Sus scrofa: one gene and its partners. The protein of the gene in region 4 interacts with the protein of the main gene of each other region in a pairwise test. Links are inferred from orthologs where the notes say so. Each region holds a gene or a part of one and is shown on either strand. Other genes may lie near its edges.

Region 1 (4,617 bases), on a different chromosome or scaffold from region 4:
CCTGCCCCACGCGCACCTGCAGATAAAGTCTTGCCCTTTGCAGCTGCGAGGGCTTCTTGGCACCTCAGCCCTACTGCCAGGTAGGGAAAGCCTGTCTGTAGACCGCCCCCCACAAGCAGCTTGGGGGCTCGGCTCCCTTCCCCAGCAGCCCACCCCCGGGGGGCAGAGGCGCGCTGCACACATGTTCAGGGACCACTGGTTCTCAACACACCCAGCCCACCTCTGGTTTTCCCAAGTCAGACCGCGGGCCCCCCATTGGTGGGGAAGCCGCCCCGCGCCCAAGCAGGAGCCGGCGAAGGGTTTACTGCAGCACTTTATTTCCTCACAATGACGCGTTGCTGGGGCCTAACGTTCTCACGTGACAGTAGAAAACCAAAATCTGTTGTCATCTCTTAAGGAATTGAGAATTGCGTACAAAAACCTTACATAAATTAAAAGGATGAATAAATTTACAGGTGTGAATGCAAACGCTTCCAACTCAAGGCAAGTTAACAACCCACGGTTTTCTGGCGGGCAAACATCGGGGAAGAAAGGACAGTGGGTCCTAAGGCTCGGACCTTCCCAACCCCGTCAGACCGGCAAGACAGAAATGACAACTGGTTCAGGACTCTTGCCAGCCTCGAGAGAAATCCTGGAATAGGAGCTCGGACACATGAATACCCTGCACAGATCGGAGAGACTCCGTCTCAGATTCTCAACCAGCCAACGGATTTCTCTTCCACGATAAACAGGTTCTCACCTCAGCCACGAGGTGACAGAGCCGCGTGTGTGTAACTAGGGGTTTAAATCAAAGATATGCACAGGGTATTAAACAGAGACCAAGGGAAGAGTTAACTCGAGTACAAGGTCAAAATCAGCAACAAGGTCTACAATCCAGTGCTGATACCAGATACAAGCTTCAAGGACAAATTTCTTTTCAAAGGCTTATTCCAGTTTCAGGAGGCTGGCATGAGGTGTGTACATTTGCCAGGGCAAACTTTATTTCTGGATTAGCTCATGCAGCAAATGCTACGCATCTGCTCGCAGTCCGTCTAGAAGCATTTGCGGTGGACGATGGACGGGCCCGACTCGTCGTACTCCTGCTTGCTGATCCACATCTGCTGGAAGGTGGACAGCGAGGCCAGGATGGAGCCCCCGATCCACACCGAGTACTTGCGCTCGGGAGGCGCGATGATCTGGGGAGACAAGGGCGGGACTTCAGTCTCCGGCAGCCAAGCCCTGGGTCCCAGCAAGGCCGCCTGCCGACCCCACGGCCACCCGACTCACCTTGATCTTCATGGTGCTGGGCGCCAGGGCCGTGATCTCCTTCTGCATCCTGTCGGCGATGCCGGGGTACATGGTGGTCCCGCCAGACAGCACCGTGTTGGCGTAGAGGTCCTTCCTGATGTCCACGTCGCACTTCATGATCGAGTTGAAGGTGGTCTCGTGGATGCCGCAGGACTCCATGCCTGAGAGGCCGACAGAGCGCCCCCTTAGCGGTCCCCCGTGCAAGGGGATGAGCCCCCGGGCCCCCCCCAGGCAGGCCGCGCTGCCCGACACCTACCCAAGAAGGAGGGCTGGAAGAGCGCCTCTGGACACCGGAAGCGCTCGTTGCCGATGGTGATGACCTGGCCGTCGGGCAGCTCGTAGCTCTTCTCCAGGGAGGAGGAGGACGCGGCGGTGGCCATCTCCTGCTCGAAGTCCAGGGCGACGTAGCAGAGCTTCTCCTTGATGTCCCGCACGATCTCCCGCTCGGCCGTGGTGGTGAAGCTGTAGCCCCGCTCCGTGAGGATCTTCATGAGGTAGTCGGTCAGGTCCCGGCCAGCCAGGTCCAGACGCAGGATGGCGTGGGGCAGGGCGTACCCCTCGTAGATGGGCACCGTGTGGGTGACCCCATCCCCAGAGTCCATGACAATGCCAGTGGTGCGGCCAGAGGCGTACAGGGACAGCACGGCCTGGATGGCCACGTACATGGCCGGCGTGTTGAAGGTCTCGAACATGATCTGGGAAAGGCAACGGCTCCTTAGTCAGAGAAGGGACCCCGGGCCACCCCATGCTACACACCATGCCGACATGCCACAAACGTGATGTGATGTGTGGAGAAAAGAAAAGGAAGCAGGCAGAAACACAAACGAGAAACCTTGAGACTTCAGGAAGGAAATGCCAGGAGAAGAACAGAACCCTGAAAATATCGAAAGAAACACTTGAATTTCAGGAAAAAAAACCCAAAAGCTCAGCACTAAACGACTCATGAAACGGATGGAAACGGCCCACTGCACCCGGCAGCGCCTACCTGAGTCATCTTCTCACGGTTGGCCTTGGGGTTCAGGGGGGCCTCCGTGAGCAGCACGGGGTGCTCCTCGGGGGCCACGCGCAGCTCGTTGTAGAAGGTGTGATGCCAGATCTTCTCCATGTCGTCCCAGTTGGTGACGATGCCGTGTTCGATGGGGTACTTGAGGGTCAGGATGCCCCGCTTGCTCTGAGCCTCGTCGCCCACGTAGCTGTCCTTCTGGCCCATGCCCACCATGACACCCTGGTGTCGGGGACGCCCGACGATGGACGGGAACACGGCCCGGGGGGCGTCATCCCCAGCAAAGCCAGCTTTGCACATGCCGGAGCCATTGTCGATGACCAGCGCGGCGATCTCTTCTTCCATGGCGATCTGCTCAAAGGCACGAGCGGCTCAGGCGCGCCCAGCGGCGCCGGGACGGCCCCTGCAAAGGCCCTGCCCGCGAGACGCTCCGCCTCCCCCCGGCCCGGCAGCGGAGAAACCGCCCGGAACCGGGGCCGCCTTTTATGTAACCCCCCCGCCCGCCGCCGTTCCGCGGCGGCGCGGCCCAGAGCGCTCGGCAGTGCGGCCGGACCCCACCCAGCTCCCGCCCCCGAGGGCGCCCCCACTGCGGACCCCGGGGGCCCGCCCGGCCGCCCCTTTTGTTGCCAGCGGCGGTGAAGCCGGGCCTCTGGGGCCGGGGCCGGGCCTGCGGAGGAGCGCGAGAGCCGGACACCGGGCCGGAGCTGCGCAGGCCTGGTCACCTACCGGCGGAGACGGCGGCCGCGGGGCGCGGAGGAGCGAGCGGAGGAGCGGCGAGAAGACACGGAGCGCGGGCCGGCTGCGGCGAGCGAGACCGACCGCGGCCTCCCCCGCCCCTATTTAAGCGGAGCGGGGGGCGCGCGCGGCCCGGCGGCGCGCGCGGCCCCAGAACATGTCCATATATGGCGATCTTTCCGAACGCCGGGCGCCCATTGGCCCGGCCGGCCGGGGCACGTGGGGCCCCGCGCCCGGTCCCGCCCCCTCCCGCACCGCCCCCAACCGCCCCGCCCGCGCCGCCCCCGCGCGCCCGCGACCCCGCGCGCGAGACCCCGCGCGGGGCAGGCTAGCGGGCCGGGCTGGCGATTCCCCCCCCCACCGCCCCCGGGGTCGCAGGGTGGGCCGCAGAGCTGACCCGCCGGCTCCGCCCCGGGACTGTCGCGCACCCTGGGGGAGGGCCCGGCTGCACCCCGAAACTGCCTGGCCCGGGGCTGGGCGGCACCGGGAGCAGGGTGTGTTCCCGCGCCCCGCCCCCGCAGGGGGGCTTCGCTCCCCGCGCGCCCCCTGCGAGTTTCCTCCCCGAGGCTCTGCAGGGAGCTCGGGCCGCGAGGCGGCTTCTCGGTGCTGAGCTGGGGGCGTGGGGGAGGGGAGAGGGCGGTGGTCGCCGCCGGTCGCCGTGGCGGCACTGTGGGCCCGGCGGTCCGGGGGAGTCCCGGGGAGCCGTGACCTCGCCCTTCTCACGACGAGAAGGAGCCGCCCGTTTCCTAGCGCAGCCACCACCGCCAAGGCCCCTCCGCCGGTGTCGGGGCGCCGGGGGTCCCTGATTGTGCAGAGACAGGCCCCGTCCTACCACACCCAACCAACGCATCCTGCGCCTCAAACCGCAGACCCGATTGTCCCCAGGCGGCGGCTCCTCTCTGCGTTTGGGGCCACCCCCTCCTCGTCCGCGGGGGAGGTGGTGGAGTTTTGCTCCATTTTAATTACTTTTGAGTGTTGTATGGAAACTGAGGCAGGGGCTACCTGAATCATCACCTTCCCCCTAGACTTGAGCGGGGCACCCTCTTCTCTGTTTATGATACTAGGAAACGGCCACGCCTGGAGTGGGTTTCCTAGGCCTCAGTAACTCTGGGGCTGTGGGTCCAGTCGGCTCCAGGGCGCGCCCTTTTCCCCAGGAGGCTGGTCTTGAAGTCCTGTCACTGCTGGCAGGGTCTTGGTCACACCTGCTGCCACCAGTGCTTTGGTTATGCCCAGAGGGAACCAGGTACTTTGGAAGCTTTCGGGATTGCTCAGCACGGAATTAAACATCAAAAGAGCCACAGGGAAGAGAGAGCACTGGCCAAGAGGGGTGGCAGTGGTGCCGGGCAGACCGAGTCTGGGGCCTTGTCAGGGTCCCAGTATGCTTGGCTGGACCTGGGCAGGTGTCTGCCGATGGGGGGGCGGGACCAGGTGCCCCAAGAGCCCTTCAGCTGGTGTTCACATCTGCGTTGGGCTAGACAGGTAAAGCCGCTGCCCAGCTCACCTGGGGGGGAACCTCTGTCACCCAAACGCAATCCATGCCTACGGCCACCTGTGCCACCAGGCCTAGCTGGGTACCCGACTTCCCAGACTTT
Region 2 (4,526 bases), on a different chromosome or scaffold from region 4:
ACAGTCATCAAAACAGTGTGGTACTGGTATCAAAACAGACAGACAGACCAATGGAACAGAATAGAGAATCTGGAAATTAACCCTGACACCTATGGTCAATTAATCTTTGACAAGGGAGGCAAGAACATAAAATGGGAAAAGGAAAGTCTATTCAGCAAGCATTGCTGGGAAACCTGGACAGCTGTATGCAAAGCAATGAAACTAGAACACACCCTCACACCATGCACAAAAATAAACTCCAAATGGCTGAAAGACTTAAATATACGACAGGACACCATCAAACTCCTAGAAGAAAACATAGGCAAAACACTCTCTGACATCAACATCATGAATATTTTCTCAGGTCAGTCTCCCAAAGCAATAGAAACTAGAGCAAAAATAAACCCATGGGACCTCATCAAACTGAAAAGCTTTTGCACAGCAAAGGAAACCCAAAAGAAAACAAAAGACAACTTACAGAATGGGAGAAAATAGTTTCAAATGATGCAACTGACAAGGGCTTAATCTCTAGAATATACAAGCAACTTATACAACTCAACAGCAAAAAACCAATCAATCAATGGAAAAATGGGCAAAAGACCTGAATAGACATTTCTCCAAAGAAGATATACAGATGGCCAACAAACACATGAAAAAATGCTCAACATCGCTGATTATAAGAGAAATGCAAATCAAAACTACCATGAGATACCACCTCACACCAGTCAGAATGGCCATCATTAATAAATCCACAAATAACAAGTGCTGGAGGGGCTGTGGAGAAAAGGGAACCCTCCTGCACTGTTGGTGGGAATGTCAACTGGTACAGCCACTATGGAGAACAGTTTGGAGATACCTTAGAAATCTATACATAGAACTTCCATATGACCCTGCAATCCCACTCTTGGGCATCTATCCGGACAAAGCTCTACTTAAAAGAGACACATGCACCCGCATGTTCATTGCAGCACTATTCACAATAGCCAGGACATGGAAACAATCCAAATGTCCATCGACAGAGGATTGGATTCGGAAGATGTGGTATATATACACGATGGAATACTACTCAGCCATTAAAAAGGATGACATCATGCCATTTGCAGCAACATGGATGGAACTAGAGAATCTCATACTGAGTGAAATGAGCCAGAAAGACAAAGACAAATACCATATGACATCACTTATAACTGGAATCTAATATCCAGCACAAATGAACATCTCCTCAGAAAAGAAAATCAATCATGGACTTGGAGAAGAGACTTGTGGTTGCCTGATGGGAGGGGGAGGGAGTGGGAGGGATCGGGAGCTTGGGCTTATCAGTCACAACGTAGAATAGATTTACAAGGAGATCCCGCTGAATAGCATTGAGAACTATGTCTAGATACTCATGTTGCAACAGAAGAAATGGTGGGGGGAAAAACTGTAATTGTAATGTATACATGTAAGGATAACCTGACCCCCTTGCTGTACAGTGGGAAAATAAAATAAAATTTAATATAAAAAAAAAAAAAAAAAAAAAAAAAAAAAAAAAAAACAAGTCGTGTTACAACTCCGCCTTAAGAATGAGAAAAAGTGGATAAGGCACTGCTGACTATCTCACAGTAACTACACAAGAAAATGCTGATAGAGCTTTCAGGGTTCTGCTTGGTTTCGATGAACACTTGGCACATGTTTTAAAATATGTACCATTTAAGGTGCCTTAAATAAACTACTACTTTTTTGGCCTACTGAACTGAAAACATTCCACAATACATTACAAAAATAACTTTCTGACTTTCTCAGGGAATTAAGAAAAAAAGACAACTTATAAGACGAATTCAGAGGTTAACAAAGAAAGACATAACTCCATTTATATAAAGATTCCAATGAGGACATAAATGGTAAAGGAAAATAAGTGATCCAGAAGACTGCTAAAGTCCTTGCTAACTATAAACTGTCGTGCATCATAAACTCTGCCATAATTGTGAATACCTGGGGGGAAAAAAAAAAAAACACCCACAAAGAAGTAATACCGCCAAAGAAAATTTCTACCGGATCTTACAACATATTAGGTCATCAACAGTGCACCTGCAGGCTCTTGAGGACTCTATCTTAAAACGAGAAATGGGCTTTAAGTATAAAAGCCATTCTGCATCAATGTTTTATAACTCCATTCTATAATGAGTAAAATGCCCAGGAAAGGAAACTAACCGATTCAAAACCGTACTGGCACTTTAAGAAACTTAAAGGTACAGGAGGGAAACCACACCATAGGGCTCCGCAAGCCTTTGCGCTGGGTTGCAAGAGGCCCTGAATACTTGCAATAAAGAACCCGCAACTCAGGAAGGAAGGCTGGAGGGAAACACTGCACTGTCATCTAGGGCGATGATTCAGGTTCAAATCAAACCCACAAGGCGACAAGTTGTAAGCAGAGAAGACACTTCAGGTCAAGCCACCCATTGAGAGGAAGTAAGCCTCGCCAACGCCACATCCCACCTGAAAGCCTAGCGCACCTAGAGGGTGAGAGCTAGGGTGGGTGCTGGGGTGGGTGGGGAGGCTGGGCGCGCGCCCGGCCCCGGCCCGCCGCCCCTCCGCTCTGCTCCGCGCTGTACCGAGGCCACCGGCGCTTGGGGCCCGAGAGAAAGGGGTGGCAGGACGGGTGGCCGCCTGTGCTCGGAGACCGCGCCAGGAATCCTCCGCGGCGACCGGGAAGGGGGCGACCGGGGCGGGGGCTTCCCAGTGTCCGTGGGTGGGGGCGGGGTGGGACGTTTTCCAGACACCGGCCAAAGCCCCCATCCATCAGGCGTTTCCCTTCAAGACCGGGTCCACCCCCGAAAGACACGGGTTACACAACCTGTCAGGTAAGGGGCGGAGGGGTGGCAGGGCACAGACCACGGCGGGCTCAGGGCCGCTCCTCCCTGGCTTCTCCCGCCCCCAGGATGCCGCGGCCGGAGAGAGCAGAGGGGTGGCGGGCAGCCGGGCAAGTCGCGGGCGAGGGGCTGCTGGCCCGGACGCGCGGACAGCGGAGCGGCGCTCACCGGCTCAGGATGGGGCGCTGGCAGGGACCAGGCAGAGCCGCAGCACCCAGTTCGGCGTCAGCAGCACTTGCGGCTGCTCTCCCGGCTCACGACGGATTCCTCGCCGCCCGCCGCCGGGTGTTTTCATACAAACCCCGGTGGCAGGCGAGGAGGAGGCGGCTGCAGCAGTGGCGGCGGCGGCGGCGGCGGCGGCGGCGGAACCTGCCCGCATCCCGGGCAACGTCAGCGCGGCGCCCCGCCCACCGCACTGCTAGGCCAGCCGGCTCGCGCGCGCCGGGCAGGAGGGAGCGCGGGGCGCGCGTGCAAGATGGGCGCGCGCCGGCGGGGAGGGCGGGTCACGCGCGGGCAGAAGCGGCGGGGGCCCGGGGAGCGCGCGTGGGGAAGCTGGGAGCGCGCGCAAAGGAGAGGGCGGGGCGAACGCGGTTGTTTGGAAGCCGGGAAAACGCGGTCGGGATCCTGGAGCCCGGCTGTTCGCGGCGCTGGCTGTCGTCCACTGCAGCTGCCGCCCTACCCGACCAAATGGGTCTCCCGGCGGCTGCCCGCGTCCTGTAAGTCACCTTGCTCTGCTCTCTCAATTAGAGCCTCCGCCTTTTCCTAGAACTAAGCTGGAGCCACCCCGACAGTCTTATGAGGCTTTTGGCAGCACCACACCAGTGGCTGTTAACTCTCCGACGCACGTGGTACCGGGGTGGCATTGGACCTTGGGGACCGCAGTAGAACAGAGCCTTTTACTGACCTCAGGGAGAGTCCTTAATAGGGTGAAGACTATCAGCTCTCACAGCCAGGCTCCCAGAACACAATGAAATTCTACCTTGTGGTCATACCTCAATAAATCAGATACCTAGTGCTGCAAGGAACAAAATTTCATGCTGATTTAATTTTTGCTTTTTTTGTAACGTGCGTACATATAGTCACAAAAAAATGGTAATGCTGAATGAGCCACTAAAGACAAAGATGGAATGTTTTCTCTGAGCCAAAATAATGTGTCAGAGAGATAAAATACCGATACACTCACTCTCTTCTGTTTCGACTGCATGTGAACACATTATAACGTATTCTTAATAAACACTGACATTTACTTTTTTTTTTCCAGAGCATAGGTCACGTTTGCTGCTGTTTATAGTAGCTGGTAAGAAATGTAAAATTATTACAGCTGGATAGGGAAATAAATTGAGAGCTGTGAGGTTTTTGTTTCATTTTCTTATCATCATATTTAAAAGAACTTATGCAGGTGCGAAGGTCATTTCAAAGGTAATCCAAGGTGCAGCATCTGTGCTGCCTGCAGTTTGCCCTTGGCAGATGTCTTTACTACGATGAACAAGAAACTGCCATTTTATAAATGCCATAGTTTCCCTGATTAGGAGCACCAAAAGGTAGGTTATAGCATTTTAAATAATTTTAGAACAATTACCACCCCAAGCCATCCAGTCTAGAAAGCATTGTCTGAGAACACTTAATTATCTAAAAACATTTAACATTTTATAGAATTTAAATATATGTGACACATATGAAACTTTAATCAAAAAGCAT
Region 3 (4,357 bases), on a different chromosome or scaffold from region 4:
GAATTTTTAAGGAGTTCCCCTCGTGGCTCAGTGGAAATGAATCCAACTAGCATCCATGTGGACACAGGTTCCATCCCTGGCCTTGCTCAGTGGGTTAAGGATCCAGTGTTGCCATGAACTGTGGAGTAGGTCAAAGTTTTGGCTTGGATCCTGCATTGCTATGGCTGTGGCGTAGGCCAGCAGCTACAGCTCCAATTTGTCCCCTAGCCTGGGAACCTCCATATGCCACAGGGGCATCCCTAAAAAAAAAACAAAATAAAAAATTCAAAAAAAAAAAAGAATTTTTAATAAGGTAGTAATGGTCCTTAGGCTTGGACCAGTCTTCCTAGAAGACTTTTTCCCAAGGTACAACAAAATCACTGATTCTGTTTATTTCCAGATATAGACGGTGGAGTAGTTCTATACTTTGGCAGGTTCTGTCCTTCAAAGGATGGCAGTTGAAGTCCACATTCCCTCCTCTACAAGTCAAAATCTCTGAAAACTAAAAATCGGAGTGGGGGGGATATGAAGGAGTCTCATTTTGACGTAAATTCTAATGTGAATTCAGTCTATTTAGGGTCATTAGTCACCTCAGTGGAACGTTCATATATTTTGCTTAAAGTTTGTTTATGTGCTAGACGCCAAAAGGTTCTGAAAGGGATTATGAATCTACATTAAAATGTTCCCTCACTATGCAGCCATAGGTAAGTCATTTAACCTGGCAGCCTTCATTTCCTCAACTATAAAGTAGAAATAATAACCCCAACCTCTCAAGATGGCTATGATTAATGACAGAGCATCCTAAAAGGCTCTGTGTCGGCACTTGGTGGGCACGCAATAAAAACCGACTGTGACAGTGCGGGAGTGCAGGCCGCGAGCCCATGCTTTCAGACCTGGAAATCCTGCCCCGACAGACCAGAGCTAGCTCAGTCTGGCTCACCTGGCTATGAGAACGGACCGCCCCAATGCATACGGCACCGGGCGGCCGCCGGAGCTGGCCAAGCAGCGCAGCCCAGGCCCTTCCATGCAGGAATCCGAGCTGGGGCATCGTGAGGCAGTGAGACGGCTTTCCGGGACAGGAGGCAAAGGACCTAGGAAGGAGGCAAAAAAGACCCCAGGAAGGGTACAGGGCGCGGTAGAGGTGAAGCCCAGACTCTACAGAAGAAATAAGCGCTTCTACACCATCTAAATCCCGCAAGGTGGCTTGGGTCCTTTCCGGCTCCCTCCCAGCATTTACACTTCCGGTAGGAGCCGGAAGTGATTGTTGTCCTGGGTGGTGGCTCTCTAGGCATGTGAGCCCGCGACTCGGTAGCCGGAAGTCGTCCGAGCTGAGGCTGTGGCCGCCACAGCCGATCTGGACAGCAATCAGCTCCGGCTGGCAGCCAGTATGGCAGGGCGTGAGACGCTGGAGGAACTGGTGCGACTTCAGGGAGAGCGCGTGCGGGGCCTTAAGCAGCAGAAGGCCAGCACTGAGCAGGTGCGACCCAGGCGGCAGGGGAGGGAACAAGGCAAGGCCAGGGAGGACATAGAACGTGGGTGGGCTGCACAGAGGCTGAAGATATGGAAGCAGGGACCGGACTGGTAGGGAGGAGGATGGGCTCGGTGGGGAGGTAGCTGCGATAGGACCCAAGAGAAGGAAGGATGGGCCTGGGAGACAGATCTGCCGCACTTCTCGATGAGCGAGAGATACTGAATGAATGGCGGGGAAGGGAAGGAGTGGATGTGATACAGCCCAGCGCCTGCTTTCCCTCCACAGATCGAGGAGGAGGTGGCAAAACTACTGAAACTGAAGGCACAGCTCGGCCCTGATGAAGGGAAACATAAGTTTGTGCTCAAAACTCCCAAGGTGAGTATCATATCTTTAAGGAGCCTCTGAGAGGGTGCCTGCTTCCCTGAACCGGGTCATTGAGGAGGATCTGAAATGCTGCAGAGGAAACAACAGTTACTCTGAGTGCCAGGCTGGGCTGGACTCTACCTGAGTCATTCTGGGATGGCAAAGTGATGGCAGAAACTAGGCCAGCTAAGTATTTAGGGGCGTCTACCTGCTACTGCTACTCCTTTTTGATTCAGTAAATATTTTTTGAGTGATCGCTACACAAGGTGAGTGTACCATGGTAAACAACATAGCCACCCCTCAGCTCACATTCTACTGAAGCAAACAGACCTAGGAGATATGATCCCACACATAGATATGTAACTACAACTTGGTTAAGTGATGTAAAGAAATAACAAAGTGCTCTGAGAAAAATAAGGGACAAGTGGGGAATCTGAGAAAGCCTCCCTAAAAAAGTGATAGACTAGCTGACCTAAAAGATGAGTGGGAGATAGATGAAGAGTCAGAAGAAGATAGGTCCAGATAGGGAGTGGAAATCCTTTTTTGGGGGGGGGGGGCTTGCCTGCATCAATGTGTAAGTTACCTGGCCAAGAATTGAACCCACACCACAGCAGCCACCTGGGCCACTGCAGTGACAAGCCAGATGCTTGGCCTGCTGTGCCACAGGGGACTCCAGGGAATGGAAGTCCTGAAGCGAGAATGAAACTTTGTAGTTTCCAGGAACTATAAAAAGACCTCATGGCTAGAACCAGATGGAGAAGTAGAAATGAAGATAGAGAGTGAAATAAAGTTGGAGAGTCTTAGCTCAGCATCCATGATGTCAGTTCAGATGCTACTTCTATAAGTTCTATAAACTGAACTATTTACCCTTCATCTGGGTTCCCTCGGCACTTGACAAATATACCTCCGTTACCACATTTATTGCTGCCTTTTCATTATTCACATGGTTTACTTAGCCTGAGAGGCTGAGATTGGAATTGAGTAGCTATTCAATGAAAGTGTGTGAAACTGAATTCCAAAGGAGAGGTCAGATGATCTGTCTTCCTTGTCTTGAGATGCCCCATTTTAAGATTAATTCTTTGGGCTCCTACATTCATTGAGCTCTTCCTTTCTACATATAAGTCATTTCAGAGGTTAAAGAGACAGTGTTAAAACCTCCGGGCAGTGGTCATCAATAGTTATTCAAACTATTGGGAGGAAAGATGAATGGGAATTTATGATAGATCAGGCTGGCCTCACCTAAACTCATCAGTCCATCTTAGCATCACTAAAAGTAGGACGAGATATTATTGTGGGCCTCCTGATGTAATGCAATAAGAATTGCACAGCACCACCTATGAAGTGTTCTTGCCAAGAATTATACTGAATCATTCTTCACACCTAACTACCACTTTACTGGAAATACATGAAAATGTTAAATTAAAACATTGAGTATACAGTTAACCAAAACTAGAATGGGAAAAATTCTTTAGGAAAAAATGGCTCATTTCTTCAACAAATGAAGGAATTCTTTTTTAAAAAAAAGGAAAGCAGGAGTTCCCATCGTGGCGCAGTGGTTAATGAATCTGCCTAGGAACCATGAGGTTGCAGGTTCCATCCCTGACCTTGCTCGGTGGGTTAAGGATCTGGCATTGCCGTGAGCTGTGGTGTAGGCCAGTGGAGTGGCTACAGATCCAATTAGACCCCTAGCCTGGGAACCTCCATATGCCCCGGGAGTGGCCCAAGAAAAGGCAAAAAAAAAAAAGGCAGACTGTTGCAGATTAAAAAAACATGAGATATCACCCAAATACAAGGCATGAACTTCGTTTAGACTCTGACTCAGGAGTTCCCTTATGGAGTTCCCTTGTGGCAGAGCAAGTTAAATATCTGTCATTGGTCACTGCAACAGCCTGGGCACTTCCGTGCCACAGGTTTGATCCCTGGCCAGGGAACTTCCACATGACGCAGGCGCAGCCAAAAAAAAAAAACCCCGAACAAAAACGAATCATTCAAACAAGCCAACCATAAAAAGGTATTATTGAGGCAATTTGGGGTAATTAAAAATGGTTTGGTAATTAAAAATGGTTTGGCAAGGTAAAGGGTTGCTCTTCGTTGGTTGCAAGAAAGGAGGTATTGTAGTTTTTTGTTCTGTTTGTGATGTAAGAGACTAAGACTGAAATATTTATGGATGACATTTTATGATATCTGGGATTTACCTTTTTTTTTTTCTTTTTAGGGCCGAACCTGTGGCACATGGAAATTCCCAGGATAGAGGTCGAATCAGAGCAGTAGCTGCCAGCCTATGCCATAGCCACAGCAAAGCTGGATCCAAGCCGCATCTGTGACCTACACCACAGCCTGCAGCAACACCAGATCCTTAACCCACCAAGCAAGGCCAGTAATCAAACCTGCATCCTCGGAGTTCCCACTGTGGCTCGGCAGTGATGAACTCGACTGGTATCCATGAAGATGCAGGTTTGATCCCTGACCTCGCTCAGTGGGTTAAAGGATGCAGCGTTGCCATGAGCTCTGGTGCAGGTCACAGATGTGGCTTGAATCCTGCAT
Region 4 (3,922 bases):
AACAGTTTCCTGCACGTTGGTAGGGAAAGAAGAAAATGGAAATAGGAGCCAAAGATTCTTGAACTGCCCTCTGATCTGTGTTGGCCCAGAGAGAAGGAAGCACCCCCACCCTCCTCCCACCCACCTTAGCTGTTGGGGTCCATGCATAATCAGTGCTTTCAGTTATAAAAGAATAGTAACTGCACAGGGGTTCCCTTAATTTAAGTTATAAACGTGCTCTCTTGTCAAATCCAGTGTGCAGTGCTTTAGTGAATCTGTTTTTCTGGTGTATATTACATCTGCAACTTATAAAACATGTTTTGATGCCTAAGAGAAATCAAAGGAAAATAAGGACCCAAGAAGTATACCCCACAGGCCTGAATTACTGATCACGTGGTAAAAGCCACCCCAAGGGACATGTTCTTATCTGGTATTTGTACAATCTTAGATCGTATATTAAGTTTTTCTCCTTACTTACTCCTTAATGTTTTTAAGATGTTTTCATATCATACTAAGAATTCTTTTCTTCCTTTTTTTTTTGTTTTTGTTTTTGTTTTTGCTTTTTCTTTTTAAGGCCTCACCTGTGGCATATGGAGGTTCCCAGGCTAGGGGTCCAAGCAGAGCTGCAGCCTCCGGCCTACGCCACAGCCATAGCAATGCAGGATCCGAGCCACATCTGCGACCTACACCACAGCTCACAGCAATGCCAGATCTTTAACCCACTGAGGCCAGGGATCGAACCTGCAACCTCATGGTTCCTAGTTGGATTCGTTTCCACTGTGCCATGATGAGAACTCCTCATACTAAGAATTCTTTACTCCAGGATCACTTTGCAATCTTTTACCAAAGGAATTTTTACATTTTTTCCCCCCAAGTACACATCTTTCTTTTTAATAGCCACACCTCTGACACATGGAGGTTCCCAGGCTAAGGGTCGAAATGGAGCTGCAGCTGCCGGCCTACGCCACAGCCACAGCCCCCTGAGATCCGAGCTGCATCTGTGACCCACCCTGCAGCTTTCAGCAATGCCGGATCCTTAACCCACTAAGCAAGGCCAGGGATCAGACTCGCATCCTCATGGATACTATGTTGGGTTCTTAACCCACTGAGCCAAAATGGCAACTCCAACCAAGTATACAACTTTTTCTCCTTTCTTATTTTTTTAAATATGCCTTTCAGTAATCTCAGCACGATAAACGTGTCCAAGGATATTTTCTGCACTCAGATTGCCTTCACTGAATTTGTTTCTCTTGTCTCCTTACAAAATTCCTTTTTCTTTTTGTTGGGTAACAGAGGCTCTCCATTAACATATGCTGTTGGTCAGAAGGTGAGGGAAAGGCAGACATGACAAGTATGCTGAAATATCCAGTTGTCCACACCTTCCTTGTAGATCTAACTAGACTGTATTGGAATGCTAATCGACCATCCCGTTAGAGTATTGGGTCTTGCTGAGTTCAGCAGACACTGCCCTTTGCATTGGGAGGAGAGAGTAAGAGCAGCTGAAGGTAAAGACACTTTATAAAATAGTGACTGGTCCAAAACACTTGGACTGTTTTAATCGTCAGTCCTGGCAGAGACATTACTTTGATGCTGGGGATACTGGTTCTTTGTGCCTTCAAATGTACACACACATAATTGTTAATAAAAGTAAGTTAATAAAATATAATGGAGCTGGGGAAGGACTGAGGGAAAGAGCTGTCTCAGGGCCTTGAAAATTAAAGCTCTGTTATTTCAACAGGAAAGAAGAATAAGCTACGTGTTTACTATCTTTCATGGTTAAGAAACAGAATACTCCACAATGACCCAGAAGTCGAAAAGAAACAAGGCTGGATCACGGTTGGGGACTTGGAAGGCTGTATACATTACAAAGTTGGTAAGTCTCAAGACATGGAACTGTTCACTCAATCCAGATTATTTGGTTAAGTTTCATTTGTTTTGTTTTGTTTTTTTCTGTCAGATATTGTTGATGCATTTGTGACTGGTTTAAGGCACTCTAGAACCTTAAGTATACTTGTATTATTTCAAAAAAAGTCAGACTGATGAAGTTCAAAGAGTGCTTTCAGAATAAAGTCCTGAGCCCCAGCTTGAACTTCTTCTCAGAGACCCATTAAAATGACAGTGAAGGAATAAAAGGGCCAGAAGAGAAACCAAGCAAGAGATGTCAGCACAATTGGACAAGAGTAGTTAGCTAACTAGAAATAGACCCAGCTGACCAAGAAATGCTGAATTCTAAGTCTGCAGTGAGGAAAGTCATCAAAATCAATCCAGTCACTCAACAAAACCCAGAGAAGCTGAGGACCTGAGGCTCCCGAGGTATCAGAGGTGGAGATGGAGGGTGGGACTGAAGAAGGGAAGATAGCTGGAAAGTTGATGAACAGCAAACCCTCCAGAACTCAGGCGGCCACCTCCCCTGACTGCAACAAAAGATGAAAGGCTGGCACAGCCAGTCTGGGGGTGAGGAGTCCTGAATTATGAGGTTACACACACACACACACACACACACACACACATCCTTTCTTCCCTTGTTTAGGTCCCAAAATAGCCATACTTATACTCCCAAGCAAGAGATTGAAAGATTGTCTTTTGAGAAACTAAACAGCCAGAAAGAAAATATGTTCAGATAGTAATATTTGAAATGCCATGATAAAAGCACCTGACCACCTTAAATGGAAGCCTAGTAATCATAAGCCCACCTATATCAGACAGCAGGGAAATCTACTAATAGAAAGGAAACTTAAACAAAAAGTATGTGTTGCTGTTTTCTTGTGATTCTTTTTTCATTCTCTGAATGAAAGGATAATAAGGAGGGGAACAAAGTTTTTTAGAAAGAAACTTTAAGAGTTTAGAAATACCATTTCCTTAAAAGAAGAATAGGGGTTATTTTATTTTATTTTATTCATTTTATTTTTGTGTGTCTTTTTAAGGACGCACCCATGGCATATGGAAGTTCCCAAGCTAGGAATCAAATCAGAGCTGTAGCTGCCAGCCTACACCACAGCCACAGCAATGCCAGATCTGAGCTATGTCTGCGACCTACACCACAGCTCACAGCAACGCCAGATCCTTAACCCACCGAGCGAGGCCAGGGATCGAACCCACATTCTCATGGATACTAGTCGGATTTGTTACCACTGAGCCACAACAGGAACTCCAAGAATAGGAGTTATTTAAAAAAAAAGGGGGGGGGGGATGGAGCAGAGTTGGAGGAGGTCATTCAGAGACTAGGAAAAAATCTTGGAAATTAAAATACATTGGCAGGAATAAAAAATGAAATAGAACGGTTGGAAGATAATGATGAGAGATGTCCTAGAGAATAGAATGAAAAGAAACAGGAGAGAAAAGGTAAGAAAATAAAAGATCCAGTCCAAATGGTTCAAAATCTAAGTTATGGGAATTTTTGCAAAAAGGGAAATTAAGAAATGAGAGGGGAAGAAAGTATCAAAGAAAGAGAATTAAGAAGTTTCTACAACTAAAATCTCAAAATCTCAAATTAAAATATTCAAAGAAAATGAAAAAAGACTCACAAGAAAATAGCAACACATAGTTCAGTACCCAGGAAAGGAGAACATTCTTAAATCTTCCAAATTATAAATAAATAGATAAACAGTTTACAATTACATATGGAAGCCCCAGAATTAGGTGGCCTAGCACTCAGCAGCAACACTAGAGGATTAGAAGACAAAGGATCCTCCAGTATTCTAAAAGAAAAATTATTTTCACTCAGTGTTTTATAATCCATCTGTATTAGTCAGGGTTCTTCAGAGAAGCATAACCTCTAGGGTGTGGGTGTGGGTGTAGAGAAAGAGAAAAAAATAAATAAATAAATCCAGGCAGAGTATCATGGAGGGTTCCAGAAGAGGAACCTCCAAGGAAAAGAAAATGTTACTAAAGGATTACCTGCTGTATTTGACTGCATTAAAGGCGTTTAGAGCACTAACAAAGT
Region 5 (3,922 bases), on a different chromosome or scaffold from region 4:
GGGCAGGCATCCAGGGTGGGCCAGCCTCCTCTCTCCCCACTGTGCTCGCACACGGCAGCAAGGCACCAGCCTCCAGGGTCCGGGCGACCCGCTTCCCTGGAGGCCCTCACCGCCAGCGTGGGCCTGTGCCACTGCTGACCCCCGGTGGTCCCTGTCAGAACTGCAGGGACCCCATGCAGCAGCTGAGCCCAAAGCGTCTTCAAGGACCCGGCTGGGGCTGAGCACGAACCCTCACGTGCAGGCAGCGAGGGAGCCGAGTAGACTTCCCATCAGACAAGCACCTTTGCCTCAAGCTGAACTAAGGGACTCTTTGCTTGGTGCATTTAAAACAAAATTCGGCTTCCAAATTCCCAGTTGGGTGCTGTCTTCCCCAAGTTGACCTACTTCCTTAGGGAAAGCTCCGTGCTGCCAAGGTGACCGGCCAGAAGGGGAAGGGACAGAGGCCACGGAGCACATGACCAGGCTCTCAGGGCTCCCCCTGCCTGGCTGGGGGCGACGTCTAACCACAGCCGCCCAGGCTGCGGCACCTCCGCTGGGCAGACCCAGAAGGGAACCGCGTCGAGACGTTCCGTGTCCTTAAGTAACAGCAAAGGAGTAACACCCGCGAGCGCGGTAACTATTTCACGCACTGGCGTCAAGCACAGCTTGGCTGTGTCCAGCTCGGGGCACAAGGCCCTGGGACCATCGGTTCACACTGCCAAGGGGGCCGTCCAGGCAGGGGCGCTATTTGCCCCCAGGCCTGTAGCAGGTTCTACGGCAGAGGCCACCCCTGCTGGGGACAGCAGCGCACAGGCCCTGACAGCTGTTCTGGGGTCCCGGGGCCCCCAAGCAAAGGAAGACATCCTCAGGAGTGGTCAGAGCGCCCTGAATTTACCAGGAGGGCTGGGCGAGTGCTGGCTGCTCCCCCAGCCCCGGGGGGTGAGCAGAGAGGGCAGCTCACAGGCAGATGAGCCAGTCCTTGTGTGGCCTCAAGTGGGCCCAGAGAAGCGAAGGGACAGTCTACAGAGGGGACCTCACTGCGGCCACACCAAGCAGAGCAGGCCAGAGGCTGTGGGACACCCAGCCAGGGGCCCGGCCATGGTTTACTCCCGGTTACACCCAACGAGCCAAGCAAATGCCCTCAGCACCCTACTCAGCGGATGCAGAGGCAGGGCTGCTGGATGGGCCAGCTGCACCCGTGACAGCCAGAAAACCCACAGGTCAGCCCACAGCTGGACCCAGACAGCGCCACGGACGCCGCGCTGCAGAGGCGCTCGGAAGCCCTCCCGCTCAACCTCCTCCATGCACAAGTGAGGAAGGGGCCCCGAAACCAGGGCCCCCCAGGCCCGGCTCTCTCCACCGCCCTGGCTGAGGGTCTCAGCCCAGCTCTTCTGATAGAGCCCTGCAAGGACGGAGGGTGGGGTAGGGGACGCAAGGTGACAATCAGGTCAACAGGCGGCAGCAGCGAATCCCCAGGGTGGACAGAGGCCCAACTCACAAGGTGTCTACACTAGGGGTCCTGCCAGGGGTCCCAGAGGTGGGCACAAAGGCCTCTGGGAAAATCTTTCTAATGGGGCTGGGGACTAGGTGTGTTTTTTTTTTTTTTTTAAATTACTAAAGCAATACAATGAATTTTTTTGTTTAAAAATTAAAGGCAGTTGCCATCTCATTTAGAAAAATTTGGGCAGAGGGAGTGGGAGAGATGTGATTATTAACTGAAAAGTCCCTCGGCCTCTGCAGGGCCCCAGGGTCCTGCGTGGGAGGGGCCCGGGCTCCGGACCCAGGCGCCCGCGAGCAGCTGCTCTCCCCGCTCCCTCTGCTCCCTCCTGGGCGAGACTGGCGGGGGTGGCAGGGGCAGGGGCGGCGAAATGAAACCTCAGCGGCGGTGCCCGGCCCCACCTGGCGCTCTCAGGCCTGTGCTCCGTCTCTGCAGGCGCCGGGGGCCGGCCCATGTCCAGGTGCTGCTCCAGCACCTGCTGCCGGAACTCGGACACCTGCGACTGCCGGTCCTCCTTCTCCTGCCGCAGCCGCCGCTGCCGCGCCAGCCACTTCTCCTCCTCGTTGGTGCGCTGGATGAGCAGGGCCGTGGCGGCGCTGCTGCCCGGGAGCGAGAAGAGGCCATGGTTGGAGAGGAGGCTGGGCACCGGGTGGTGGGGAGTGGGCGCCGGGTGCAGGGGGTGCTGCACGGCCTTGGGCGCCTGCAGGCCCGCATCCTTCAGCTTCTCTGTAGGGGAGAAAGGCCATCACAGCGGGTCTCAGCCCTCCGCCCTGCCTGGGCTCTGGGAAGGGCGCTGCCCTGCAGCCACGGCTCAGACACGAAAGCTGCCCACAGATGCTCCTGCATGCAGGCCTGGCTGCCAGGGACAGCGGCAGGCCTTGGGGTGGTCAGCTGAGCCTCCTGGGGGCTCGCCTTGTCCCGAGACATTCCTGGCAAGGGGTGCGGAGCAGGCTCATACCCCCTTGGCAGAGCAGACTCAAATTTGGGGGAGCCACGCACACCAGCAGTTAAACTCGCTATTATTAAAAGTGAGATTATGTATACTCACAATGAAACAAAATATGCCTAAAAACTAAGGTTAAAAAAACACTCAAGGAGTTCCCATCGTGGCGTAGTCGACAGGAATCCGACTAGGAACCATGAGGACGCAGGTTCAATCCCTGGCCTCGCTCACTGGGTCAAGGATCTGGCGCTGCCGAGAGCTGTGGCGTAGGTCTCACACGCGGTTCAGATCCTGCGTTGCTGTGGCTGTGGTGTCGGCTGGAGCTCTGACTGGACCCCCAGCCTGGGAACTGCCATATGCCATGGGTGCAGCCCTAAAATGCAAAAAAAAAAAAAAAAAAAAAAAAAGCCAAAACCCAAAACCTCCAAACTATCACTTCCTAAGGTTGTGGCTGCATGTTTCTGTGGCACACATCGTGGCAGTTATCTACGTCCATGGCATCTGTATCACAGTCTCTCTTCTCAGCTCCCTAACCTGGGAATGTCACTCCTGCCGGCTCCCGGTGCAGGGACCTCAGGCTCATTCACAGCCGGACACTGACAAGGTCAGCCGGGCTCTGGCCGGGGGCAGCGCCCCGGGCACAGTCCCCCCGCCTTGGGTACCTGCTCGGGTCGGGGTCAGCTGCTCGGAGGGCTTGCCGCGATCCTCGGTGGCGTGGCTCCGCAGCCCGTGCAGCTCGGCCACCGGCAGGAAGGCCGGCTCCAGCGCCTTGGCGGCCAGCAGCTCCTTCTCGCGGGCGCGCTGCTGCTCCCGCTGGCGCTCCAGCTCCCGCTCCTTCTCGCGCTCGCGCTCCAGCTCCTTCTCGCGCTCGCGCTCCTTCTCCCGCTCCCGTTCGCGCTCCTTCTCCCGCTCGCGGTCGGCTTCCCGCTCTCGCTCGCGCTCCCTCTCCCGCCTCAGCTCCTCGTCCATCTGCAGCCTGCGGGGCACAGGGAGCCGGTGACCTCCACCGCGGAGGGTGCGGGGGCCGGGACCGTCCATCAGGGAGAAGCCCCCGGGGCCAGACACCGACACCTGAGCCCAAGGTTTTGGCGGGAGACCCCAGCGTTCCCCTGGAAACAGTGCCGGGAGACGAGCCAGGTTCTGGTTCTGCTAACACGCCTACGAACTCGAAGGCCCTTAGATCAAAAGCTGTGTACAAACTCCCTTAAGGCCCCCGGGAAGCTCACAGCCTGGGCTGGTGACTCAGGACGCAGCCTCGCCGGGCACCAGCCAGGACCTCGGAGCACCCGCCCTCTGCCCTCGAAGTGAGGGCAGCAGGTGCCGAGGAGCCCGCCGGCCACGCCCAAGGAGCCGAAGGCACCTGTCCCCGGATGGGGCTTACCTCTCGGCGCTGAGGCTGGACATCCGCTCCGAGTGCAGCGCGGCCAGGGACGAGTGCGGGAGCTCAGGCGGGTAGCGGACCCCGGAGAGGTGGAGGTGCACAGCTGACGGGTGCAGCGGGG
Region 6 (4,667 bases), on a different chromosome or scaffold from region 4:
CTCTGCACACACCTCCTACTGGGCTGATTCACAGGCAGCAACTATTCTGCCCTCTTACTTTCTTTCCAGTTCACATGCTCTTCCACTAAGAAGTCATAGGGTCTTTTTTCAAATTTGATGTGCTTTGTCATGGAACATGGATGGTCAAACATTGAACCTCAAGGAGAACTGTAAAAATTCAAGAGCAAGACTGGCTGCTTCTACATGGGCTCTAAAAGGATTCTTAGCGTATCGTGAGAACGAAGACTGATGCCAAGAAAGGGCCTTAAGCTTCAAAGAAAGTGAGAGCTCTGCTACAAACAGTTGGGGAGGAAAATAATGGATTCCTGGGTCACTTCGATTGGGAAAAAAACACTTGGGTTAAATGAAGTTCCATGTGTTTCTTTACTGAAGAACCTCTCCAAGTCTTTACAATGCTTTTACTCTATGTGTTGGGGATCACAACGGTGACAGGTGGCCCCATCACAGCTTCTTTGTCATGGGGGAAGGTATGACTACGGGAGTAGGCTTTGAGGATACCCTTAAGGAGACTATTGATTTTTTAAAAAAATAAGCTGTTTATTGAATTGCAGAATTTTAGTTTTGTATGTTCACCAGGGACCTGGGTGTCTCTTTATGAAGTAGTCCAGAACTCTAGAAAGACATGGGCAGTGTGTGCCCACTGTACCCCCAAAGATACCCTGTACCCCTCCAAGACAAGCTTCCTGAAGGTGGGGTGCCATCCCCCTCCTAACCCATGTCCGTGACAGACCCTACCCAAAGCCTGCCTTGGAGTTTGGTCATAATCAAGGTCTAGCAAAATCTACTGAAGTGAATCTTGGCAGCAGGCCCTGGGCCAGGCTGGTAACAAAACCAGATCCAAGATCTCACCCCTTGAAGCTTTCAAAAGCAAATAAACCTTCCCTGTTTGTTAACCACAGCCCCAGGATCAGCTGACACCGCCTGGAAGGACTGTGGGTTGCCATGGCAACCTGGCTGACAACCTGGCAGGCCATCCAGAGGAGCGACAGCCAGTCCCTCCCCCCTGCACAGAGGGTCAGGGCGGGGGGGGGGGGGGGGGCACCTGGCTCTTCCTCACCTCTTTCTTCTTCTTGGCTTCCTCCAGGGAGCTGAGCAGTGATTTGCGCTCTTCATTTGATTGTTCTATTAGGGTCTTTATCTGTTTCACCTCCTTGAGGGCATTTTTAATTTCTTTATTAACGTACTTACTCCCCTCGGTGGACATTTCTGCAAGAAAAGCGCAAGGGAGGTAGATGGGGCGAGAGGAAGGAATGGTGCTGGGGATATAAGCCTGGAACCAGCTGGAAGGGTCGGAAAGGCCAGTGGGTCTAGGGGCTGCCAAGCCTAGGAGCCCCTGACAGGCAGCCTTCGGGCCCAGCCTCTGCCAACCCAAGTTCCATCACAGGGCTCACTGCAGACCCAGGACCGAGGAGCATCCATTACACCCCACCCTGCTCAGAAACACCAACCATCAGAGAGACACACCCCAGAGGAGAGACAACCCAGGCCACCTCCAGGGCTCTGGAGAAGCAGCCTAATTGGCTGCCGAAGAAAATTTTCAAGGGTAACTGCTTAAGCATGAAAATGTAAATATTATTACTTTGGATACAAGTCTTTCTGGACTTGAGTTTAAGCACGCATGTGTTCTTCTTTGTTCCAATGCATGGTGTCAGGAGACGGGGACAGGAAGCACTGTGGATTAACAACACCATTCCTCGAGGGGACTGTGATCAGACACAGCAGGGTGACAAATGCAATGAGACAGTGTCAATGAACTTCCGAAAATAACAGCCAATACGTTTCTGATCTTGAGCCAGGAGCTGAGCTGAACGCTTCTCTCTCTCTCTCTCTTTTTTTTTTTTTTGCGCCACACCCACAGCATATGAAAGTTCCCAGGCTAGGGGGCAAATTGGAGCTGTAGCTGCCGGCCTATGCCACAGCCACAGCAATGCCAGATCTGAGCTGTGTCTGTGGCTTACACCACATCTCATGGCAATGCCAGATCCTTAACACACAGCAAAGCCAGGGATCAAACCCTCGTCTTCATGCATACTGGTCGGATTCGTTACCACTGAGCCATGACAGGAACTCCAAAGCTGAACACTTCTTATGCATTTTATTTAACATGCCCATCTGTCCTCACCCCACAGCACCAATGAGGATAAAGAGATCAAGACACTCACCCAAGATCAGACAGCTGGGGAGGGTGGAGCCAGACACCCACCCAGAACTGATCTCAGGGTTTTTAACTACTGCCCTGCAGTGGTCAGCTGCTAGGACAGAGTGGGGAGGAGGGAATTTAGGTTTCAGGAAAGGTCTGGCAGAAGAGGGGACCACCAGCGGGGCTCTGAAGGATGTCAAGCCTCTTAGGGAATGAGAGTTCCCCTCTCCTGAATCCAGGGCACTGGTTTCCTAGGTGGAAAGGGATGGATACAGGGAACAAGTGCCCCGGCAACTCAGAAACGGCAGGCCACAGAGGCGCCAAGGGTCCAGGCTTCATGGGGTTTCATGGAGGAGGTGTGGGTGCCAGGCTCGGAGGGAAACAGACCAGTGAGGTGCAGCAGCCAGAAAGGGCTTGAGAACAACCTGAAACTGCCTTGAAATCAAGCTGACAGCAAAGCCCAGGCTGGCGAGGGAGGCCTCAGCAAGGCTGGGGCAGAGCAGGTGCGACGGGATGCACAGGAGGGAGAAAGGTGCTCTCTAACCCTGGGACCCAGGACGGGGAGGGAGCATGTGAGGAGGCGCACAGGCTCACTTACCCTGGAGCTCTTTGTCCGAGATGGCCTTGTCCCCCAGCACCCAGGGGCCATTCTCCCAGGTCAGCAGCAGCCCCACCAAGAGCAGCAGAGTCTTCATCTCGCCTGCTTCTCCAGTTCTGGAATTCTAGCACGCCTCTGTTTGTAGAGAACAAGGGACTGTCATGGTAACAGCCAGGCAGCCTGGGGGGTTTCCGCTCTAGCCTGCTGCCTGCAGAGGCTTCGGCTTCCCAGGCGCCCAGCAGAGGCCTTGCCCTCGGCTACCCCCTCAGCTGGCACCACTGCCCTTTATCTGGGGAAGTGACAAGAAAGGCTCAGACTTGCCACGGACAAGTGGAAGGAGTAGATAGAGGCAGGAACCACAGGACAGCAGCCTAATATAAGAACTCCAGAGTCACAGCCACCAGGCTCAGGTCCAAGCTGCCCTCCCCCTGTCCCCCTCCTCCTTCTCCCCCTTTTCCTCGTTCTCCTCCCTTTACCCTTAATAGCTGACTAAGCCTGAGCAAGGCACAATACTGTCTGCATCCAGGCAGGGCATCTATCTGCTGATACCTGCTCACATCAAACAAACTCTGAAAACACCTCTCTTGGGTCACTCATCTGGCCTCTCCCGTCCTCCCCCTGCCAAAGTGGGGACTGCAGTCCAGAGTGCAGACAGTCCAGGCCGCTGCTGTGTGCATCACCCATCCTGCCCCAGCAGACATCACCAATCAATCACAGCAGTTCCTCCCCCCTACCCCCTGCCCGCCTCTAAGCCTCAACACCTCCTGAAACTGCTTTTTCAGGGTCTGAGGCAGTGAGGACCTCAGACCTCTGGGTTAGCACATTCTAAGCCCACAGCAGGGTGTCTGCCAAGGTCCTCCCACCACCACTCGGCCAGCTGCCCTGAGCTCTGGACCAGCTGGTCTTACACAATGGACCCTTTCCCAGAAGCTGAAGCTGTTGCAAAACAGAACCCCCGTGCCCTGCACCTCCTCCCCAGAACCGCTAATCTGAACTCGCCCACTTCCCTGAACAGAACGGGAAGGGGGTCTCTCCTTCCTGAGATGGTGCACATCCAGAAGCTGCTCTCAGCTTGGCAGGCCCCCCTGGACCCTCGGGAGCATATTCATAAAGCAAACCTCTCCTGAGACATCATTAGCAAAGCAGCCGAGCTGTGGTTCTCAAGCAGCGTGGGAGAAGAGGGCGGGGTCACCACCTTCCCCAGAGATGGTGAGTGGGTGGTGGAGCCAGGCGCTAATTCAGGTGTCTCGGCTCTGCCCCAGCTGCTCACTGAGGCCTGAAACGCCTGGAGCAGGGACAGAGCCTTTGTCACACCAGAGAGAGAAAGCCAGCAAGAAACACCCCTGATGTTGTGTGGAGGCCCCTGATGGCAATGATTTCTGAGAAATCCATACATAAGCCTCTGATACCAGAAGACAGGGCATTGGGTCCTGAGAGGAAGGGAGGCAGGGCAGCCAAAGGCAAGAGCCCTTCATGAGGAGTCTGGAAAGCAGTGGTCAGTGTAGGATCTCCTACCAGGACTGGGACCACGGGAGCCATAGAGCTCCGAGCTGGGAAAGAAACCAGTCTCCTGTCCAATCCCTCCCCCTTGGAGGGGAAGCCAAACCCACAGACAGGATGGGGCTTCCCAAAGCCTGCAGCAAGTATGTGGCAGCCCCAGGATGAGGACCCAGCTCTCCCAATCCCCAGGCCAGTGTCCTTTCCTTAACACCAAGTCATTTAACTCTGAGTCTCAGTTTCTTCATCTGTAAAATGGACTTAATACAGACCTCAGAGATGCGAAGGGTCTAATGTGACCAGAGGAAACTGTGACTCCTTCAAAACTGGTCAACATTGGACCATTCGCGGGCATTGGCATTATCTATTGGGGAAGTGGCATCTTTGCAGAGGGACAGAACAGAAGCAGGC
Region 7 (3,922 bases), on a different chromosome or scaffold from region 4:
TGGATATGCTGGTTCCTTAACCCACTGAGCGAGGCCAGAGATTGAACCCGCGTGCTCGTGGATACTAGTTGGGCTTGTTAACGCTGAACCACAATGGGGAGCTCCCCACTTTTACAAAAATTTTAAGGGAATTATTCAGACCCTGATGTTTTAGGGAAAGAGGTAAAATATGATAGAAACTATATATTGTTACTGACCTAGTTATTTCAGTTACACAGTTCATCCTTGCATTCTGTTGACCTTGGTACACTGCAGCATTTATTAAGAATATGTGCATATGGATGGGAACAATTCTGCATTTTTTTTCCTTCTGTCCTGTTTCCCTTAGGTAAGAGATACTGTCATCAAACATTTCAATTAAAAATGTGACTTTGGAAGTTCGTGGCTCAGTGGTTAGTGAACCCGACTAGCATCCATGAGGATGCAGGTTTGATCCCTGGCCTTGTTCAGTGGGTTGAGGATACAAAGGGTTGCCGTGAGCTGTGGTATAGGTCACAGACGTGGCTCAGATCTAGCGTTGCCATGCGTGGCTGTGGTATAGGCTGGTGGGCTACAGCTCTGACTGGACCCCTAGCCTGCGAATCTCTATATGCCTCAGGTGTGGCCCTCAAAAGACAACAACAACAAAAAAAATGTGACTTTCCTTTTAGTCATTAACCCAAAGTATTCATTCTTTCATTTCATTTATTTATTTCAAAAATATTTACTGAGCACTTAATAAATAAGTGCCAGTAGTGGGCTAGGACAAGGGGATGTGTAGATGAATAGAACAGGGTCTCTGTTCTCAAAAAAATAAAAAGTTCACAGTCCAGTCCAGTGAGCTGTTTGCAGTCCCAAATATTCTGATTTTATATGTCTTGATTAGGCCTGAGTATCTGCTGTTCTAAAACATTCCAAGGGTGATTCTTATGCACAGCCAAGGTTAAGAAGTGGCCTAGAATTTTATCAAAGTCTTGCAGAGCATTCTTCTTGTTAAAAATCCCCTGGAGTAAAAGGGAGGTGGAATTAGGTTGGCTGCTACTGTCACCTAAATCCAGCTTCCATTTCCTATGTGGAAGACTCAGTCCCAAGACAGGCAGAATTGACCAAACAATGTGTTGCCTAAACTGGGACAGTATTGAGACACATTTGGTAATTCTGATGGGAAATGGGCATAAACTGGGATAGGCCCAAGCAAATCAGGACAGTTGTTTACTCTATGAAAGGATCGAGGTACACTCTATATACAGAATGATTTACACAGGTTTAAGAAGCCTTAAGAAGAAGAGCACCATATAAACACATACATTAAACCGGGCTCCATGGCTGTCTGAAAAGCTACATGCCAAAACATGTTCAATACAGATATAGTATTAGTTTTTATGAGTTGCTTCTAAAAGACATAGGAATGAATTTATCACATCTGTAGTTGTATAATGATCATAACAATCCAATAAATTCATTTGAGTAATTAAAAAAAAAATAAAATAAAAAACATAGGAATGAACTTTGTTAGTCTACAACAGATAAGGTCAATTTAGACATCTCAAGCTAAGAAAACTTTTTAGTTGTTGATATTTCTATGAAGGCAGCTCTGACACAAATGGCATTTTTTCTTAAAACTGATATTTATTAGGCATGGAATCTGTGATGACTGTTCCTCTTGATTAAACATTCTTTGTATACTTAAAATTTTTTCCCTTATTACTTTTAGACAGCTTCCTCCTAAAAAACCCAAGGTCTGACATGTACTTCACTACATAATTTTTTTAAACATACAAATCGATATTTCAGGTCAAAGAATCTGATGCAATATTGAATACACTCCTATTGGCAACTTACGGAGGGAGGCCGTGGGTATGTATCGTAGGGGGGTGGAGGGCTGTCCTGTTTGGGTGTTGATGGAGTATCTGCTTCTTCCTTGTCACTCTCACTCCAATAATCTGCAAATTCACACACATGGACACATCAACATTCTATTAAAAGTTTCTAGCCATATTTTCAGGAACATACACCACCAGCTAACAAAAGGAAGTTTCAATCCCATTCCTACACCCTGCTCCCCAGCACTCCCTACTCTAGGCTCACCAACCTTTATTTTCGCTGGGTTTTGAGGTGGAAGGAAGAGTACGATCACCTGATCCCAATCTCCTTCTGAAGCAAGCATTTTCACAGAGCCACAATTTTAAGGAGTTAAGAAAAGGCACCGCATAAGACAAATCGGGTTTAGGGTATCTTAGGTTTCCGCCACACCCAGGGCACAGGGAAATTCCTGGGCCAGGGATTGAATCTGAGCCCCAGAGCTGCGACCTATGCTGAGTCCTTAACCCACTGCACCACAGCGGGAAATCCAAGTTTAGGGTATTTTACATTCTAGACGAAATAAATCACTTGAAGCTCAATTAATGAATGTCACATGATGCCTCTTAAAGGTGTATCATTTTATATTAAAGATGAACACTCAAAGAAGATCTCTACAGACATAAACAGCTCAAAAATAATGTTCTCAGTTCTCTTCTCTGGCTTCAGTTCACTGGTTACCTAACAATCGCTGTTTCCAGTCATGCTGACATGAGTCTCTATAACACCATACTCCCACCTCTACTTGGAAACACATGGCAAACTCTGATTCTTGCCAAACACAAAAGGGCAAATCTGCTGATGTGGGTTGTAAGTTCCAAACTTCTAGAACTACTTGAAAGGGTAGAAAATGTAAGCCGCTAGACAAAGTGACTTGGCAGACCTGAGGCAAGAGGGAAGGGGAAAAACTCTGAGAGATACATTCATTGAGTAAGAAAAATATAGCACAAAGGCCAATAATCAGAATAAGATATTCTACCATATCCTAACCGCCCTGCAACTGCTGGGTTAATTCTTTATGTGATTTACAAGGAAAAAACCTGTAAGTATTACGCGTGTGAATTTCAGATGATAAGAGAAAAGGCATTAAAGCAAAAGGTTCCTTATTCTTAGGAAAATCTAAATCACAAAAGAAACAGCAGAAGGCTTAACTAATATCCAGATTTAGGTAAAAAGTCACGGCACATATTTTTACAGGTACCCTTCTCCACCCAGGATTTCCCACATTGTTTTACATATATATATAGAGGGGGGGGGCTTGTAGTGCTGATTAATAAGTATGGCTAACATGTATTGAGCACTTACTATATAAACAGAAAATAACAGAACTGGGAATTGAACTAAGAAACTGCCTTGCTCTAAACCACTGGGTCTCTTTTGTATGACTTGGTGGGAGAATTTCACATGACATATACTCTCGATCCTTCCAGCCCCCTCCTCCTGCTGCTCCATAACCCTGGCTATTGTGCAAGGAAATTCTTGAGCAATGGGAGTTCCCGTCGTGGCGCAGTGGTTAACGAATCCGACTAGGAACCATGAGGTGGCGGGTTCGGTCCCTGCCCTTGCTCAGTGGGTTAACGATCCGGCGTTGCCGTGAGCTGTGGTGTAGGTTGCAGACGCGGCTCGGATCCCGCGTTGCTGTGGCTCTGGCGTAGGCCGGTGGCCACAGCTCTGATTCGACCCCTAGCCTGGGAACCTCCATATGCCGCGGGAGCGGCCCAAGAAATAGCAACAACAACAACAAAAAGACAAAAAGACAAAAAAAAAAAAAAAAAAAAAGAAAAGAAATTCTTGAGCAATGGAGATTATTATATTCAGGTCTCAAAATACAAGGCCTCAAAATTCTATTCCTACCTTAATTATTCTGAGCAAAAGATAAACAAAGACTAGTTAACTTAAATCTGATATCTGGTTTTCATACTGGGTCACATACTAAGGAGAAGCACATTAAGTCTCTCCTCAAAAACGAATGAATGTAGTTGCCCAGAAACGGACCCAGTAAACACTGGTGGGAAAACCATGACTATATACTCATGTAGATGTAGGTTCAGTGCTTGGCTGTACCAACAACCATTTCTGCGCT

Evidence for each region.
Region 1: the proteins of TNIK (region 4) and ACTG1 interact in a two-hybrid assay, tested with the Homo sapiens proteins (2 studies listed by BioGRID and IntAct). The link is inferred for Sus scrofa from reciprocal best matches to the Homo sapiens genes TNIK and ACTG1.
Region 2: the proteins of TNIK (region 4) and AGTPBP1 interact in a two-hybrid assay, tested with the Homo sapiens proteins (2 studies listed by BioGRID and IntAct). The link is inferred for Sus scrofa from reciprocal best matches to the Homo sapiens genes TNIK and AGTPBP1.
Region 3: the proteins of TNIK (region 4) and HARS interact in a two-hybrid assay, tested with the Homo sapiens proteins (2 studies listed by BioGRID and IntAct). The link is inferred for Sus scrofa from reciprocal best matches to the Homo sapiens genes TNIK and HARS1.
Region 5: the proteins of TNIK (region 4) and GSE1 interact in a two-hybrid assay, tested with the Homo sapiens proteins (2 studies listed by BioGRID and IntAct). The link is inferred for Sus scrofa from reciprocal best matches to the Homo sapiens genes TNIK and GSE1.
Region 6: the proteins of TNIK (region 4) and CLU interact in a two-hybrid assay, tested with the Homo sapiens proteins (2 studies listed by BioGRID and IntAct). The link is inferred for Sus scrofa from reciprocal best matches to the Homo sapiens genes TNIK and CLU.
Region 7: the proteins of TNIK (region 4) and CNKSR2 interact in a two-hybrid assay, tested with the Homo sapiens proteins (2 studies listed by BioGRID and IntAct). The link is inferred for Sus scrofa from reciprocal best matches to the Homo sapiens genes TNIK and CNKSR2.

What each region holds. Positions count from the first base shown.
Region 1 is NC_010454.4:1,318,898-1,323,514, reverse strand, and holds ACTG1 (actin, cytoplasmic 2), read right to left. Parts: upstream 3,161-4,617; 5' UTR 3,017-3,160; intron 2,642-3,016; 5' UTR 2,636-2,641; coding exon 2,273-2,635; intron 1,983-2,272; coding exon 1,544-1,982; intron 1,449-1,543; coding exon 1,267-1,448; intron 1,176-1,266; coding exon 1,032-1,175; 3' UTR 296-1,031; downstream 1-295. UniProt on the Homo sapiens protein: Actins are highly conserved proteins that are involved in various types of cell motility and are ubiquitously expressed in all eukaryotic cells.
Region 2 is NC_010452.4:29,438,821-29,443,346, reverse strand, and holds the start of AGTPBP1 (cytosolic carboxypeptidase 1), read right to left. Parts: upstream 3,006-4,526; 5' UTR 2,997-3,005; intron 1-2,996. Other genes in the region: serine/arginine repetitive matrix protein 3-like, read left to right, coding at 3,006-3,544. UniProt on the Homo sapiens protein: Metallocarboxypeptidase that mediates protein deglutamylation of tubulin and non-tubulin target proteins.
Region 3 is NC_010444.4:142,398,146-142,402,502, reverse strand, and holds the start of HARS (histidine--tRNA ligase, cytoplasmic), read left to right. Parts: upstream 1-1,270; 5' UTR 1,271-1,366; coding exon 1,367-1,456; intron 1,457-1,735; coding exon 1,736-1,825; intron 1,826-4,357. Other genes in the region: probable histidine--tRNA ligase, mitochondrial, read right to left, coding at 920-1,027. UniProt on the Homo sapiens protein: Catalyzes the ATP-dependent ligation of histidine to the 3'-end of its cognate tRNA, via the formation of an aminoacyl-adenylate intermediate (His-AMP). Plays a role in axon guidance.
Region 4 is NC_010455.5:109,657,191-109,661,112, reverse strand, and holds part of TNIK (TRAF2 and NCK-interacting protein kinase), read left to right. Parts: intron 1-1,717; coding exon 1,718-1,852; intron 1,853-3,922. UniProt on the Homo sapiens protein: Serine/threonine kinase that acts as an essential activator of the Wnt signaling pathway. Recruited to promoters of Wnt target genes and required to activate their expression. May act by phosphorylating TCF4/TCF7L2.
Region 5 is NC_010448.4:3,258,716-3,262,637, forward strand, and holds part of GSE1 (genetic suppressor element 1), read right to left. Parts: coding exon 3,802-3,922; intron 3,397-3,801; coding exon 3,083-3,396; intron 2,204-3,082; coding exon 1,879-2,203; intron 1-1,878.
Region 6 is NC_010456.5:11,346,122-11,350,788, forward strand, and holds the start of CLU (clusterin precursor), read right to left. Parts: upstream 2,872-4,667; 5' UTR 2,857-2,871; coding exon 2,760-2,856; intron 1,725-2,759; coding exon of another isoform or gene 1,601-1,724; intron 1,228-1,600; coding exon 1,079-1,227; intron 1-1,078.
Region 7 is NC_010461.5:17,787,848-17,791,769, reverse strand, and holds part of CNKSR2 (connector enhancer of kinase suppressor of ras 2), read right to left. Parts: intron 1,923-3,922; coding exon 1,822-1,922; intron 1-1,821.